2 linked regions of the Tamandua tetradactyla genome follow. The protein of the gene in region 2 interacts with the protein of the main gene of each other region in a pairwise test. Links are inferred from orthologs where the notes say so. Each region holds a gene or a part of one and is shown on either strand. Other genes may lie near its edges.

What was found. The genes of interacting proteins can lie anywhere in the genome.
Region 1: the proteins of TRIM39 (region 2) and UBE2E2 interact in binary tests that used the Homo sapiens proteins (3 or more experiments, as listed by UniProt). The link is inferred for Tamandua tetradactyla from reciprocal best matches to the Homo sapiens genes TRIM39 and UBE2E2.

What each region holds. Positions count from the first base shown.
Region 1 is NC_135341.1:65,248,655-65,255,663, reverse strand, and holds the start of UBE2E2 (ubiquitin-conjugating enzyme E2 E2), read left to right. Parts: upstream 1-3,907; 5' UTR 3,908-4,046; intron 4,047-7,009.
Region 2 is NC_135331.1:85,289,526-85,296,971, forward strand, and holds the start of TRIM39 (E3 ubiquitin-protein ligase TRIM39), read left to right. Parts: upstream 1-4,336; 5' UTR 4,337-4,904; exon of another isoform or gene 4,905-5,810; intron 5,811-6,559; 5' UTR 6,560-6,689; intron 6,690-6,973; 5' UTR 6,974-6,980; coding exon 6,981-7,433; intron 7,434-7,446.

The DNA.
Region 1 (7,009 bases), on a different chromosome or scaffold from region 2:
GGGTTGGGAATTTAAGAGTGGCTTAGCTGGGTGGTCTGATTCAGGATCTTTCTTGAAGTTTCAGTCAAGAAGTTGATCAGGGGGCGGTGTGACAGTGGCTCAGGAGGCAGAATTCTTGCTTGCCAAGCCGGAGACCCAGGTTTGATTCCTGGTGCCTGTCCATGCCAAAAAAAAAAAAAAAAAAAAATTGACCAGGGTTTCAGTAATCTGAAGTCTTGGCTGGGGCTGAAGGATCTGCTTGCACATGCACTCAGTTTCTAGCCATCTTGGATTCTTCATAGGGCTACTCACAGTATACCAGCTGGCATCCCTCTGAGTAAATGATCTGAGAGAGAGAGACAGGGAGAGAGAGAGAGAGGAAGGGGAAAAGAGAAAGGGAAGGAGGGAGGGAAGGGGAGGGAGGGAGGGAGGGGGAGAGGGTGGAGGATAGATGGGAGAGAATCCATATGGAAGCTATAATGTCTTTTATAAGGTAATCTCAGAGTGATACACCATCACTTCTCAGCATTATACTAACCCTGGTAAATGTGGGAGGGGACCACAAAAGAATGTGAACACAGGAGGCAGTGATGATCGGGAACCTCCTGGAGATTTATAACCACACATGGGCAGGGGCTACAATATGGAAGTAGCATCCAGATCCCTGTGTTTGCATCATAACTTATGTGAATGGTGCCCAGTGAAGTTTTGCAGTGTGCCATGTATACAGTCATATATAGGGGCCCAGGTGGTAGTCCCAAACCAGGTGTGACAGTCAGCACTGTTTCATTCTCTATTAGGAATTCATTCAGTCATTTATGCAACAAACATTTGTTGAACACTTGCTATGTGCCTCTATCTCAGTACTGAACTAAATAATGGGGTCCCTAGGGCCTCAGCCCTAAGGAGTTTCAATTTTCCCACATCAGTTCTGCTCTTCTTAAGTATCCATGGCATTCAGAGTGACTGCAGGTGCCTATAGCTCCCTTCAAGCCAGGATGAAGGAAAACATTGTCTTCCATCTCATTTTGTAAGGGTCCTAATTTTTGGTAAATCTGAACTAATATGATGTTCCCTCCCCAGGGGAAGCAAATATTTTATCAACCACTGATCACTGGATGCCTAAAAAGAATGGAAGTTGGTATTTTACCAATGTGGTGTGTTTTATGAAATCTAGCCTTTTCCCCCAGAGAGGTCTTTTCTATCTCCCTTCTAGTCAAACTGGAAAACTAATTGTGATTCTATCTACTCACAAAGTTGGCAGCAATAAAAGTTATAAGAAAGGCCCTTCAAAAAACTTTTCCACCTGCCAATTCTAGGGGGAAAATGTAGGCTCTATATTCAAGATTAGAAATAAGAAGTGTAGGAAAGTAGAGAGTGAGTTCATCATGATGGATTGATGAATCAGAGCAGGAAAGTGAGCTATTTGTCTAGGAGACCAAGTTTGAGTCTCAGGGGAGAGGAACAGGGAAAAATCAAGTAAAAATCTATGTTTGTAACACTGGACTCATGACAAAGTGTTGTGAACTTAGACTCCAGAGTCAAACTGCTGATTTCAAATCCCAGCTCTGCCTCCCACTAGCTGTGGACAACTGACTCAATCCCTCCAAACCTCAATGTTTTTATCTGTACAATGTTCTCATCTCAATGTTTCCATCTATATGATAGGGTAAGTCTCATGGGGTGGTTGTGAACTAGTATTATAAAGTGCCTAGAACTTTACCTGTCACAACATGAGAACACAATAAATGCTGATTATTATTACTGGAGAAATCAGAGCAACATCTATTATGTCATCAATTGGAAAAGTTCAGTGTCATTAACTCAAACAGTATTTATTGAATAAACTTAACAGTGAACTCCAACCAACAAAATCCGTGTCCAAAGGAGCTTATTTGTGGGCGAGGAGAAGAGGGAAGGCTAAAATAATTAAATTAAATATTTATTATGTCAGGTGATGATCATGGAGAAAAATAAAACGGGGAGGAGGATGGGAAGTGCTGGGGGTGGGGTGGGAGGGAATAATATGTAGAGATAGGGAATAGTAAATACAGAAATCTTGAGGCTGAGAAATGTTTGATGTGTTTCATAATAACAAGGAGGCTAGTGTGGCTGGAGGGAGATGAGGGTGAAGTAATGCTGTACTGTGTGAGATCAGAGGGGTTCTTGGTAGTGGCAGATAGATCATGCAGGGCTACGTCGCTATTGTAAGAACTTTGGCCTTTGTTCTAGGATGGGGAGACACTGGAAGTTCTGAGACAGGCGAGGCATGATCTAACCTATGCTTTAAATGATCACTCAGGCTGCTGTGTGTGTGTGGAGGGGTGGGCAGGGGAAAAAGCTCAGGTAGGAGGTTGTTATGAGTTGAATCATGTCCCCCCAATAGACATGTGGAAGTCCTAACCCCCTGTAGCTGCGCATGTGAACTTATTCGGAAATATGATCTTTGCAGATATAAGCAAATTAAGATGAAGTTGTAGTGAATCAAGGTGCCCTAATCCAATAAGACTGGTGTCTTTAGAATAGAGGAGGCACTGAGAGAGGCACAGAAAAGAGAATAGAGCCTTTTGATGTTCTTGAGTGATACATAGGGACACACCACTTTTTGCTCAGTGGTGTTTATCTGAGGCTACAGGTCAATATTTGCTTTTGGTAGTTGTCAGGGATGTTATAAAGTAACAGCCAATCCTTGAAGAAGGCATTGGATAAAAGGATTTTCAGTTCTAGACATGTATGTGGCTCTTGATTTGCTCCTGTTTTTTCTTTGGTTTTACCGAACTGAATTCTTTTGGTTGCCTGAGTCACTCTGGACTCTGCTCATTGCTCCATGGAGAGCTTAGGGCACCTGGTCTGCTGGTTTCCCTCATCTAATTCTGTGCCTAAGTGGGCAATAATGTTCAAGTCCAGTAGGTCTATTCCTACGCTTGGGAGGCTATCTTCAGTCCTGTCTGGATAGAGCACGCCATCCCATACAGCTCCAGAGACTGCATATAATGTTTAGGAGCAGCAGTCAGTTTGCAAGAGGGGCTGGGGTGGGAGAAATTCTCTGGAAGCTGAGTTTGCATAGCAGACACACTTTTATTTTTCAAATTGCTATTTGGGGTGAAGATTAAAAGGGAATCTAACGTTCCCTAAAGCCACTCAAACCATTCAAGTGTGCCTGAAGTAGGAAAAGTGCAGCACCCACCCATCCCCATCCCCACTCCCAATATTCCATGGCTAAAAGGCCTGGAATTTCTGGCTACTAACCGGTGTGCATTCTGGGTCACACAAAGTCAAAAGGCAGAAGGACCTCTGTGTTGCAGTGTCATGTGAAGAGTTTGCCTTTGCCTGGGAGAACTTTCCAGGCCAATACGGAGCTTTTGAGTACGGGTTAGTGTGTCAACGGGGTCAGTACCGAAGGCTATTTCGCATATGCACTGAGGAGGGGGTGAAGTCAAGGGCTACGGTGCGTGGGGGTGGGGCGAGAACGCCTCCCTGCTGCCAACATCCCCCTCAGTCGCAAGCTTTTAGGACGACCTTCACCCCTCAGCCAGCATATCCCTTTAATGCGCGTGCCCGTCAAGGTCTCCGCGCCCCCTCCCTCAAGACGCCCCGCGCCAGCCTCGGTTTCCCTACCTCTCCCGTCCCTGCCGTTCCTTTTCCACGGACTCCCCTCGCCCATCCCAGCCCACTGCCTGCACGCGGGACTCGGCCGTCACTTAACTTTTCCGCACGGCTTCCCCGCCCTCTCGCCCGACCCGCGGGACAGCCGGCCCGTGCGCGCGCGCCCCCTCCCCCCTCGCGGCCGCGCGCCGGGTGGAGGAGGGGCGGAGAGCGGGGCCGGTAGGGCTGGCGCGCGGCGCGGCACGGACGACGTGGGGTTCGCGCTCTCGCGGTCTCTCCCGGGCGGGCGCGCGAGCTCGCGCACTGGCGGGCGCGCGCGCGGACGGCCGGGCGGCGGCAGCGGCTCGCTGAGGTGGTGGCTTCACTTTCCAGGACTCAGGGGCGGCCACAGCGGCAGCCGCGGGCAGTAGCCTCGGAAGCCAGAGCTGGGGCGGCCGGGGGTGGCGGCCGCGGCACTGAGGGTGAGTCCAGGCGGGTGCGAGCGTCGCGGAGGCAGGCGTGGCCGGGCGTCGGGTGCCTGGGTCCAGGTTTCGGTGACTAGACGGCCCACAAGGGACAGCTGGTCCCTGGGGCCTCACCTCCCTCTGGCGCCGCCATCCCCTCGTGCATCCCGGCCTCCCTCTCTCCCCGAGCTTGGGTTTGAGCCCGCGACCTGAGCGGATGCCCCTCCCTGAGGTATCGGTCCGGGCTGGCGTCCCTTCCCCCATGCCCCCCACCCTCCCACTCCGGCCACCCTTCCACCTCGCAGGTCCCTGTGTACACCTCCCGCGCCCTGATTCCCCTCTCTCTGCTCTCTGGCGTGGCCCATTCCTTGTGTCCCCTCCCGCGAGCCTACTGCCCCCGTTTCTCGCCCTAGTCACCCCTCCCCCTCCTCCCCTTGCCCTCCTCCCTTTCTGCCCCTTCCCTTCCTTGCACTTCTTCCACCCACCTCGGTTCTCAGTTCCCCATCTTTCGACGCCCTCCCAGCCCCTGCCCTCTTCTAGCCGCATCCTGGAACTAAGTCTTTGCAAAAGTACGGGATAAATGTCACGGCGGAAAGTGCCAGGCTTGATCTTTTGCTATTTTCCCTAATTGCATAATTGCTGCACATGGTGTCTTTCCAGGCGAATGCCGGGTCTGGCTCTCGCGCCGCCGCCACCCCCGCCGCCCCCTATGGCCCACCGGGAGAAGACCTTGTGGGTTGTGTTTCTCTGTGCCCTGGTGTGGGGTGTGTGTTATATTGGTCTTTTGTGATGCCTCGATCTTGTCACAGTTTTGGAGCAGAAGCCCATTTTTCTCTGGTTTCTTCTCTGCAGCCCACACTGGCCTGGTTTGAAACTGGATTCCCTCTGTCCCCCTCCTCCCTCTTCCCTTGCTCCCACTCCTCTCCCTCTCTTTCTCTCATAATGTTTTGATCCTCTTGCCCTTTACCATTTCTAATGAAGATAAAGTGTAGCTTCTTGTGCCCCCCCCCCCCCCCCACTACCAACCAGATGTCCAATCCATCTTCCCTTAAGGAAATTAAGGTCGCTTTAGAAAGACATCATCCTAGGCTCGGTGGCTGCTAGACTAACTTGCATGTGTTCAAGATCCATCGTTATGTATTGTATATTCTGTAGAGTTCACTCATTTTTATTAAAAAGCGCTTCAGAGAAAAGATTTTAAGCTCTCTTAGTTTTTATCCTTGACTTTTTAAAAAGTGTGTTTCTGAATCTGATAATTCATTCCGGACCTTGGCAATCTAAATATTTGTTTTTGCTCCGATTGGATGCTCCTTGGCTCTTTGGAGTTTTATATGTGGATTGGTGCTAATGATGGAATATTTTCTTATGTCATACCCCATTTTCTCTCCCCTAGGACACAGCACCCCTTTTCTCCCATCTAATGATATCTTTTCTCATTTTTAAAAAATCGGTGATACCATTCTTTATTTCCTCCATAAATGTCTTTAGAGTTAAGTTAAATGCTGGGTATTGCTAGAAGATGTGTACGTAATATAAATTACTTTACATTTTAGGAAAATTTAGAAACGTGAGTAGGAAGACAGCAAGATATCAAATGACAGAATTCAGTATTTTCCTGTTATAAAAACTGAAATAGGTAGTTGCTTTTTCAGTTTAATGCCTTGAGATAAGGTTTGTCTGGCAGTAATCAGGACTCATGGAGTGATTAGAATCCCTTTTATGTCATCAGTAATATTTATAGCCAAATCATTTCTTTTTTTTTATGGAACATGTGCGCTTCATTGGTTATTATATTGGTTATTTCCAGGACTGTAATTACAGCATAAAGTACATAGTTAGTACAAGCTTAGACAATTAGTATGCATGTGAAGGAATAACATGGAAACTCTTAATATAACACATTTTAGGAAAGTCTACCTTATTTTGTTTTTGTTTAGGAAAACCAAGTTTTTGTGGTCCAAAATAAAAGTATTAGTTTAAATAACTTAATATCTTTGAAAAGCAGCTCTGTGTTTATAACCCTGGGATTTAAGTTTATATTTTCCTTAGATTAGATAATTGGAATAGATTAGCGATTTAGGAATTAAATTTAGTAAAAGATAATTTAAAAATGTTAATTTAGCAATTAATGTTTAAAGAGTTTTAGTTTGGGATTTTTATTCATTTCTACTTTAGAGTGACAACACTGACCTTAACAACTCTTTAAAATCACTGCTTTTCTTCATAAAAATTAGTTGCACATGAGTGGTACTATAAATTTTTTTCCAAACTTTTTCTGTAATCAGGCATTCATAAACAAAGACGGCAGAAATTTCACTGATTCTTGTGAAATTCATTTGTAAACGTTTCTGTAGTGGTTATCTGTTTTGTCACATATTTGTGATTTGGTTGGTTAAGATTTGGATAAAATGAGTATGTTGGGTTAAAAGTAGAAATAAAATTTTCTTCTTTATTATGAAACTATAGAAATTATGCATCTCTTTGGGCATTTTTTTTCCCCTAAGCTTTTTATTTTGAAATAATTTCAGATTTAACAGGATAATTGCAAAAATAATACACCAAACAGGGAGAGAACTCCACATGCCCTCCCCTGCTCCATACCCGTATCCACCAATTTTAACATTTTGCTGTATTTGTTGTATCACTCTCTATATTTGTCCTTCTGTCTATCAGTCTTTCTACCAGTTATCTAAACATGTGAGAGTATCATGCTTCTTGAATCTGTAATGCTTCCATGTACATTTCCTAAGAACAAGGGTATTCATTGTGTAACCACCTAAAGTACAGTTACCAAGTTGAAGAACTTTAACATTGATATAAAGCTTTCAGTGTAAGTTCCAATTTTTTCATATGTCCTAATATCATTTTCTTCTCCATTATTAGATCTAGTCCAGGGTCTTGTATTGCATTTAATTGTTGTCTCTTTAGTTATTCTTTTTTTTTTTTCCAAGATTGTGGGAACATGTATACAACATAAACTT
Region 2 (7,446 bases):
CATTTACACTTATCATGTTCATTTCAATTTAAACAAAAAAGAAGGCTGGTTGCTGATTTTTATAAAATGTACTCTTAGAGCATAAACTGTAAGGTAAGGTAAATTTCATGTAAATCTTTTTTTCTGAAGAAACTCCCATTTTATATTTTAAATTAGAAAAATGAACAGTTTCCTCAATTTCATTTTTATTTTGCTGTATTGAGATCTATAAATAAATGTATGATTTTTTGCACAAAAAAAAGGTATATCTACATCCATAGAGTTTTAAAGTAAGGGGTAGATAACTGTTTATTCTCATGGTTTCCATGAGAAGAGATTTCCTCAACCTCCCACACTCCCACCTTTCTCTAGAAGTGACCTAAAGGGGGTTGAAGCAGGAGCTGAGCAGGCTTGGCCTAGCTCCTTGTCTTTTTTCCCTCTTTGAATCTGTTTGCAGAGGGAATGATTTCTCAGCATCTCCCAGCTACATGTAAGCTTAGCCAGTAGGTTCTGAAGGGGAGAGGTAGGCATACCTCAAGGGTTAGGAACGTGTTCAATTCAAGGGAAGGCAAGCAAATCAACTGACGATTGCTAAACCATTCCCTCTAACATGGTTTATAAAACTAATAAAGGTGACATTTTGGTCCCAGGGTTCTGACTCCTGTATCTTTCTACCGGTTCTGTATAGGTTTTGAAATTGGCAAGGAGAATTTGTATTGTCCTAAAATTTCAACAAGAAAGAAAAAATAATGAGTTTGCTTTGTTTTTGTTTTTGTTTTTTAGGTACAAAGAGTAAGTAAAGTGAACTATTTTTTCCTTTCCTTACCACTGTCAACAAGAGGAGAAATGTCCTACATACACCAAAATTCCTCAATTGTACTGTTATCATGCTGTTAACTTTTAATTTTGAAGCAATAAAATCCATAATAAGGACCCATATTATATTTAGAATCCTAAACGATGCTATTAAGATTTTTTTTCTAACATAGGAATTTTCAATCTTAATGAGTTAAAAATTTATATGAGAGGACTTCTGGGAAGATGGCCAAATAGAGTAGCTCAAGATTAGCCCTGCTTCAGGGAAAAATTAGAGAAGGGACAGGAGAGCGACTGAGGCAGCGATTCAGGAGTGAGGCTGACCTGGGAGAGCATTTTGCACCACAGAGGGCAGCCCTAGTTGCAGAGGCCGAGGAACTGAGAGGTAGAAACCTGGAGACTGGCGAGGAGACACAGAACCCATGGGAGTGCACGGACAGGAGCAGGGGACTAGGAAGTAAGCCGGGCCACATTCCTTGGGTGCATACCCTCACCAGTGCAGCCTCGTGACCGGTGACTCACCCCACACCCCACGCACCCGAACCCCGTCATACGCTCCCATTTCCCGGGCTCCAGGCACCCCCACCCAACCATCCCTCAGTGCATGTACCTGCCCCACACTTCACCCCAACTGCAGCACATTTCACCTCTCCTGGCACCCCTCCCGAGCACTACCTCCCCCTCCCTGTTCCCTGCAGGCTGTTGCCAGCGCATAAAGGCTGCCAGCACTACCCTCCATACCCAGGCTACCCCTGCCCCCCTGCCCATAGTGTCGTACAGCTTCACCCCACACCCCCTCAAGCTCTGTGCATCAGTTTAAGCACTCCTAGACCCAAGCACAGACAGAAGATAAACAAGGATATAGAGAAGTTAAATAATTTGATAAATGAATTAGACCTAACACACATATACAGGTCAGTGTACCTCAAAGTACAAGGTTATACTTTCTTTTCTAGTGCTCATGGAACATTCTCCAGGATAGATCATATTCTGGGGCATAAAACAAGTCTTAATAAATATAAAAATAATGAAATTATTCAAAGCACTTTCTCTGATCACAATGGGATGACCTGGATCTCAATAACCACCAAAGGAACGAGAACATTCACAAATACATGGAGATTAAATAACACACTCTTAAACAACCAGTGGGTCAAAGAAGAAATTGCTAAAGAAATCAGTAGCTATCTAGAGATGAATAAAAATGAAAATACAACTTATCAGAACTTATGGGATGTGGCAAAGGCCGCGCTGAGAGGGAAATTTATTGCCCTAAATGCCTTTATCATAAAAATATATTTAAGCCCTCTAGCCTCCTATATACTGGAGCAGCTAGAAGTAAAAATCTGAGAGGATCGTATCACAGCCCATGACACACTCGGGGATCTGTCCTATAACCACTTGTTGAAGAGTGCTTTGAAAACTATTGCTTTTTTATTTCTTTGCTTTGTATATATGTTATACTATATAATTTAAAAAGTTTAAAAGAAATTACCCTTCATCCCATTAAAATAATTAATTTTTAAATATTCCTGTGGTGATAATTTCTTGATATACAACACAAAAACTCAGTGCTATTCCACCTCTCCTGAACTACAACCCCTTCTAACCTTTAATAATACCCCTCCTTGTTTAAAGAATGTACTTGTATCCCAGTATCTTCATAAATTTCAATCAACTAAGTTACACAAGGTCATAACAAATCTGCTATGATCTCAAATTACCTTTATTATTTATTTTTATATAGACACAGAAAAAAGAGAACACAGCATGTCTATCCCAATTATCCTCGTTTGAAAATTAGTGGATTCTTCGACAAAGTCAGCAAACTATGGCATGTCACGTGTATTTTTGTATGGCCCAGTAAATGGTATTCATATTTTTAAAAGGCTGGGGAAAAAATCAAGACTATTTTGTAACACATGAAAATTATATGAAGTTCAGGTTTCAGGATCAATTAATAAAATTTTAATGGATACAGCCACACCCATTTCTTTAGTATTACCTAATTCTTTTTTTACACTACAAAAAGAGAGTTCAGTAGTTGCAACAGACACTACACAGGCAATGAAGACAAAAATATGTCCTATTTGGTCCTTTACAGATAAAGTTTGCCAATCCCTAATCTATGTCATACACCATGCCATTCATAATTTTATAGTTTTACCTAGGAATTTTCTCCCTTTTCCCTCTATAGTCAGTGTACAGTCTCCTTAATAAGCTATTGGTCTCCAGACAAACATTCTTCATAGTCTTGGACATGGACCCCCTCCAGGGAATCTCCTTAGTCTAACAGCATCCCCAGTCATGTATAAACAAAAGGCGAGTAAGGATTGCTTTCCGAACTTAACCATGTAACACCTTAGAAGTTACAAATGCACAACAACAACAAAACAGAATCAACCTTCTTCATCATCCTTCTCCCTCCAAAGCAAGGCTAAAGAGGCTGTTCTCCCAGCTAGTGGCTTTCAAACTACCCTAACGAAGAATTAAGTTTTGTTACCTGGAACAAGTACTACTGCTAAAGTCCCTAAGGCCAAATAATAAGAATACAAATTAATGATCATAATTTTCTCAAGTATAATTTTATCAAGTTTTTCTCCAGATCTTTGGGTACCACACATACACACACACACAAAGTGATCAAAAAGCAGAGGATCTTTAAGAAAAAAAATAGACGAACTGTATTTAGCATGTGCGACCCTAAATTTTTACACTTCACATATTTGATTCTATTTTCCGCAAGTAAATAGTTTCTGGCTCCCACGATGAGAGGCTCTACATTACAATGTTTGTATAGCATCCCAACTCAAGACTGGAACAAGCTAGATTCCTTCCTCTCCAAGAAGGGTACACCAAAATTTGCTCATGATCTCTTTCAATCAACATTCTGCTCGCCAAGCGTTGGGAGCGGGGCAAACTGCCTTCTTCTCTACCAGCAGTTTCATACTCATCCTAGCACTAACTCCTCCCCAGCCCTACCACAACTCTACCCAGCACGAGCTCCTTCACAGCCCCAGCTCCTTCCCAGCCCCAATATCACTACTCGGCACCAACTCCTCCCCAGTCTCGCCACACCTCGATCCTGCAGATTCCCCCCCCACCCCCAGGCCCATCACCTCACCCCACTGTAACAAAGTCCCGACCTGCGGAGCTTCCAGCTGCAGAAAGGGTAGAGTGTGGAGTTCCCGTACAAGCACCATCTGACCTTTCAGAGAAACCCAAGTCACAGTCCCATAAGTGGAAAGGACCGGCCTTGGCTCGCACCAATAATGGGTGCGTACGGAGAGCTTGCAGCGGTCGTGCTCCAAGCGAGGCGCAAGGGATACAAAGGTGAGCAGCAGAGACCTGAAATACCAACTCTCCGACTCTCACTCCAGCGGGAGAGGAGTATCATTTCGAAAAAGCCCGCCAAACCAGAGGCGCGAGGAACAGCTCTTGAAGTACACGGGAGCGAGAATTTAATCCCTGAATGTTAAAAGGCTAAAACTCAAGTAGTCGGAAGTGACGTGCGAGCTGCGAATTGCAGGTCCGCCACGTAATTGGCCACCGCCTCAACAAGCCACTTTCTCTTCGGACTTGCCTGAAGAAAGGGAAAGTGTGGCTGAAAGCCCACAATCCGCCCCTGTCCCGCCCCCCGACTCCCAGCGCCACCGGGGAGCCGCGGAGGCTGGCCAGGGCCCTAGCCCGCAGCGTGGGCAGGGCTGTCTCGCCGGACCAAGAGGCCGTCCAGCGCCCTGCGGGCAATGGGCTTCGGCGCTCAACCACGCGCATGCGCGGCCCTCTTTCTCCAGAGGATTCCTCGGGTCACCTGCACGCCGGCATCTCCGCCACCTGCCCCTCCAGGTCCCTTCTCGTCCTTGACTCCTCCCACTGGTTCTCACCTCCGGCCCCATTTCTTCTCCTTCTTCCGCAGGCCCCGCTAGGCCCTGCCACGGCCGCCCGCGGACACCCGGCTTTCGCTCGACACGAGCCACTCGGCGCGGCGCGGCTTCCGCTTCCGGCGAGTATTGTGTCGCGCTGCGGGGCGGGGGCGGGGGGAGGAGAAAGGAGGGAGGCAGCGCTCCGGTGGCTCCGCGCCCCGCAGTCCCGGACCCGAAGCCGGGAAGGTAGGTGCTGTCCCGCCGCCGGTCCCAGACCCCGGGGCCTTCCCCGCCGGCCGGCTCCGCACGCCGCGTCCCAGCGCCCCGCGACTGCGTCACCGGTCCCCCTCACGTAACCACTGCTGCCTCCCCCCGCCTCAGGCCGGGGCGGACGTTTTGCCGCCCCGGCGACGTCAGCGCGTCCGGCGTTGCTTGGCTACCCCGTGGTTCCCCCGTCCCGCTGCCGCTCGCCTCCCCGGGTGAAACTCCGACGCCGTCACCGCCGGTCTCGGCTGCGTCATAGCAGCGGGCATCCCACCTTCACGTCACACCTCCTCACCTGGACACGCATCCTTCCCTCCCCCGCCAACCATGACGTTTCTTGCCCACCCCCTCCAATCCCTCTGCGCCAGATCTGGCGGGAGAACGTGGAGACGGGGGTGGGACAGAGTTGTGGACCACGCTCAGGAGAGGGTCGCAAGGTGGGACCTTGGACAGTGGTAGAAACAGAACGTCGGCGTCCCACAAGTTTGCCTGTCTACTGACACACAAAGCATAGAGGAAGAGGAAGGACCAACCCAGAGGCACCCAAGGCATCATTATGCCTGTAGCTCCAAGTCCTCTTCATACTTCCCTGACCCTTTATCCATTTCTTTTTCACATAACTTCTCCGTTCCCTCTGCCAGTCTAAATCCATCCTGGCCCCTAATGTTGCATACAGTTCAACCCCAGGTGAGGAGGTCGCCTAATTTCTAGAAGATTGAGGACTAATGTCTAGTCAAGGTTGGATTCCCATAGGTAAAGAAAAATCGTCTGACTGAACTTCGGTCCTGATGCTGGGGGAAGAAATTCATGTTCAAAGAACTTAACAAGCTCCTACTCCAAATTAAACATTTTCATATGTACCATCAATACATACAAGAATAATCTTTGGTAACTCACCCATTACATGTTCACTTGCCTCTCAGCAGATATACCTGCTAAATTTCCTTCCTTTATTGGGTCTTGGGGGGTGGGGGGAGGATGGACAGGATGAGTACAGAGAAATTATTCATGAATAGGAGTGTTACCATTTTAGGGATGGAGTAGCCTTCTGCTTTATAAATACCTTAGATGCATTTTCAGTTCTTTTGAGGTTTCACTTAAGGGAGGTTTTAATTACCTCTTTACTTTTCTTTCTCCGAATTCCCAACCACTTCAGAATTTATTACTTGGAGACACTATTTCCAAGGAATTAGTTATGAATAGCTATCATGAAAGTCATTGCTGAATAATTAGAGTAGAATCATCAGCTCTTTCAATAAGTTATTGGCTTTGGCTCAATATTGTACTTTCTAGTTGCCATGAATTTATCACTTTTTAGCATTTCTAAATACCCAAATTTACACGTACAGGAATGGATGTTCTGTGAATCATTTCATTCTAAGAAGAGGGCCCAGTTCTCTAAGCTATTCTGATAAAACAAAGAATAATTTCAAACTTTCTTGTAAAGGAGATACTACCCTCACACACCCATTCCATTCATTACTCTTTGAAAGAATGAGAAGAATGGTTGAAAATCAAGATAGACCCCAGTGAAATATAGTAATAAAATTCTTCTGTAACATTAACTTCAGATTTAATTTAATATCTTAACTCTAACGACAGCTTTTATTGTCACAAACTCCTTTCTCATCTGTTAGAATAATATGTCAAACTACGGATATATTGGTCTGGAATTACTGGTTCTAAGATATAAGTAGAATGTGCCTGCATCAGGAACACACTGCTTGGGTTGGGAGAAGCCTTTGTTTTTAACAAGAGAAAGCAGAGGTAAGAGACAGAAGATTGGGGGGAGGTGGGGAGTAGTCTGTTTGGCAAATAGTAAAAAAAAAAAAAAAAAAAAGATTTAGGTTGATGGCTGGGAGTCACAAGTTTGGAAATAGAGAAACAAAATAAAAGTTGAATCTAGAGGAAGAGAAGATGGGAAATACTAAGATGGGACTAAACTTAGAGATAGGGTTTAATGTGGGGGTAAATGTCAGACCAGGGATGCAAAAAAATTAAACCTTCAACTAATATTTTTCTTTTCTCTGTGCCCCCTCCCCATTCCCAAGTTAAATAATGGCAGAGACAAGTCTGTTAGAAGCTGGGGCCTCTGCGGCCTCAACAGCTGCAGCTCTGGAGAACTTACAGGTGGAGGCAAGCTGTTCTGTGTGCCTTGAGTACCTGAAGGAGCCTGTCATCATTGAGTGTGGGCACAACTTCTGCAAAGCCTGCATCACCCGTTGGTGGGAAGACCTGGAGAGGGACTTCCCTTGTCCTGTGTGTCGAAAGACATCCCGCTACCGCAGTCTCCGGCCTAATCGACAACTAGGCAGTATGGTTGAAATCGCCAAGCAGCTCCAGGCCGTCAAGCGAAAAATCCGGGATGAGAACCTCTGTCCCCAGCACCATGAGGCCCTGAGCCTTTTCTGCTATGAGGATCAGGAGCCTGTATGTTTGATATGTGCAATTTCTCACACCCATCGTGCCCACACCGTTGTGCCACTAGATGACGCCACACAGGAGTACAAGGTGGGAAACCTGA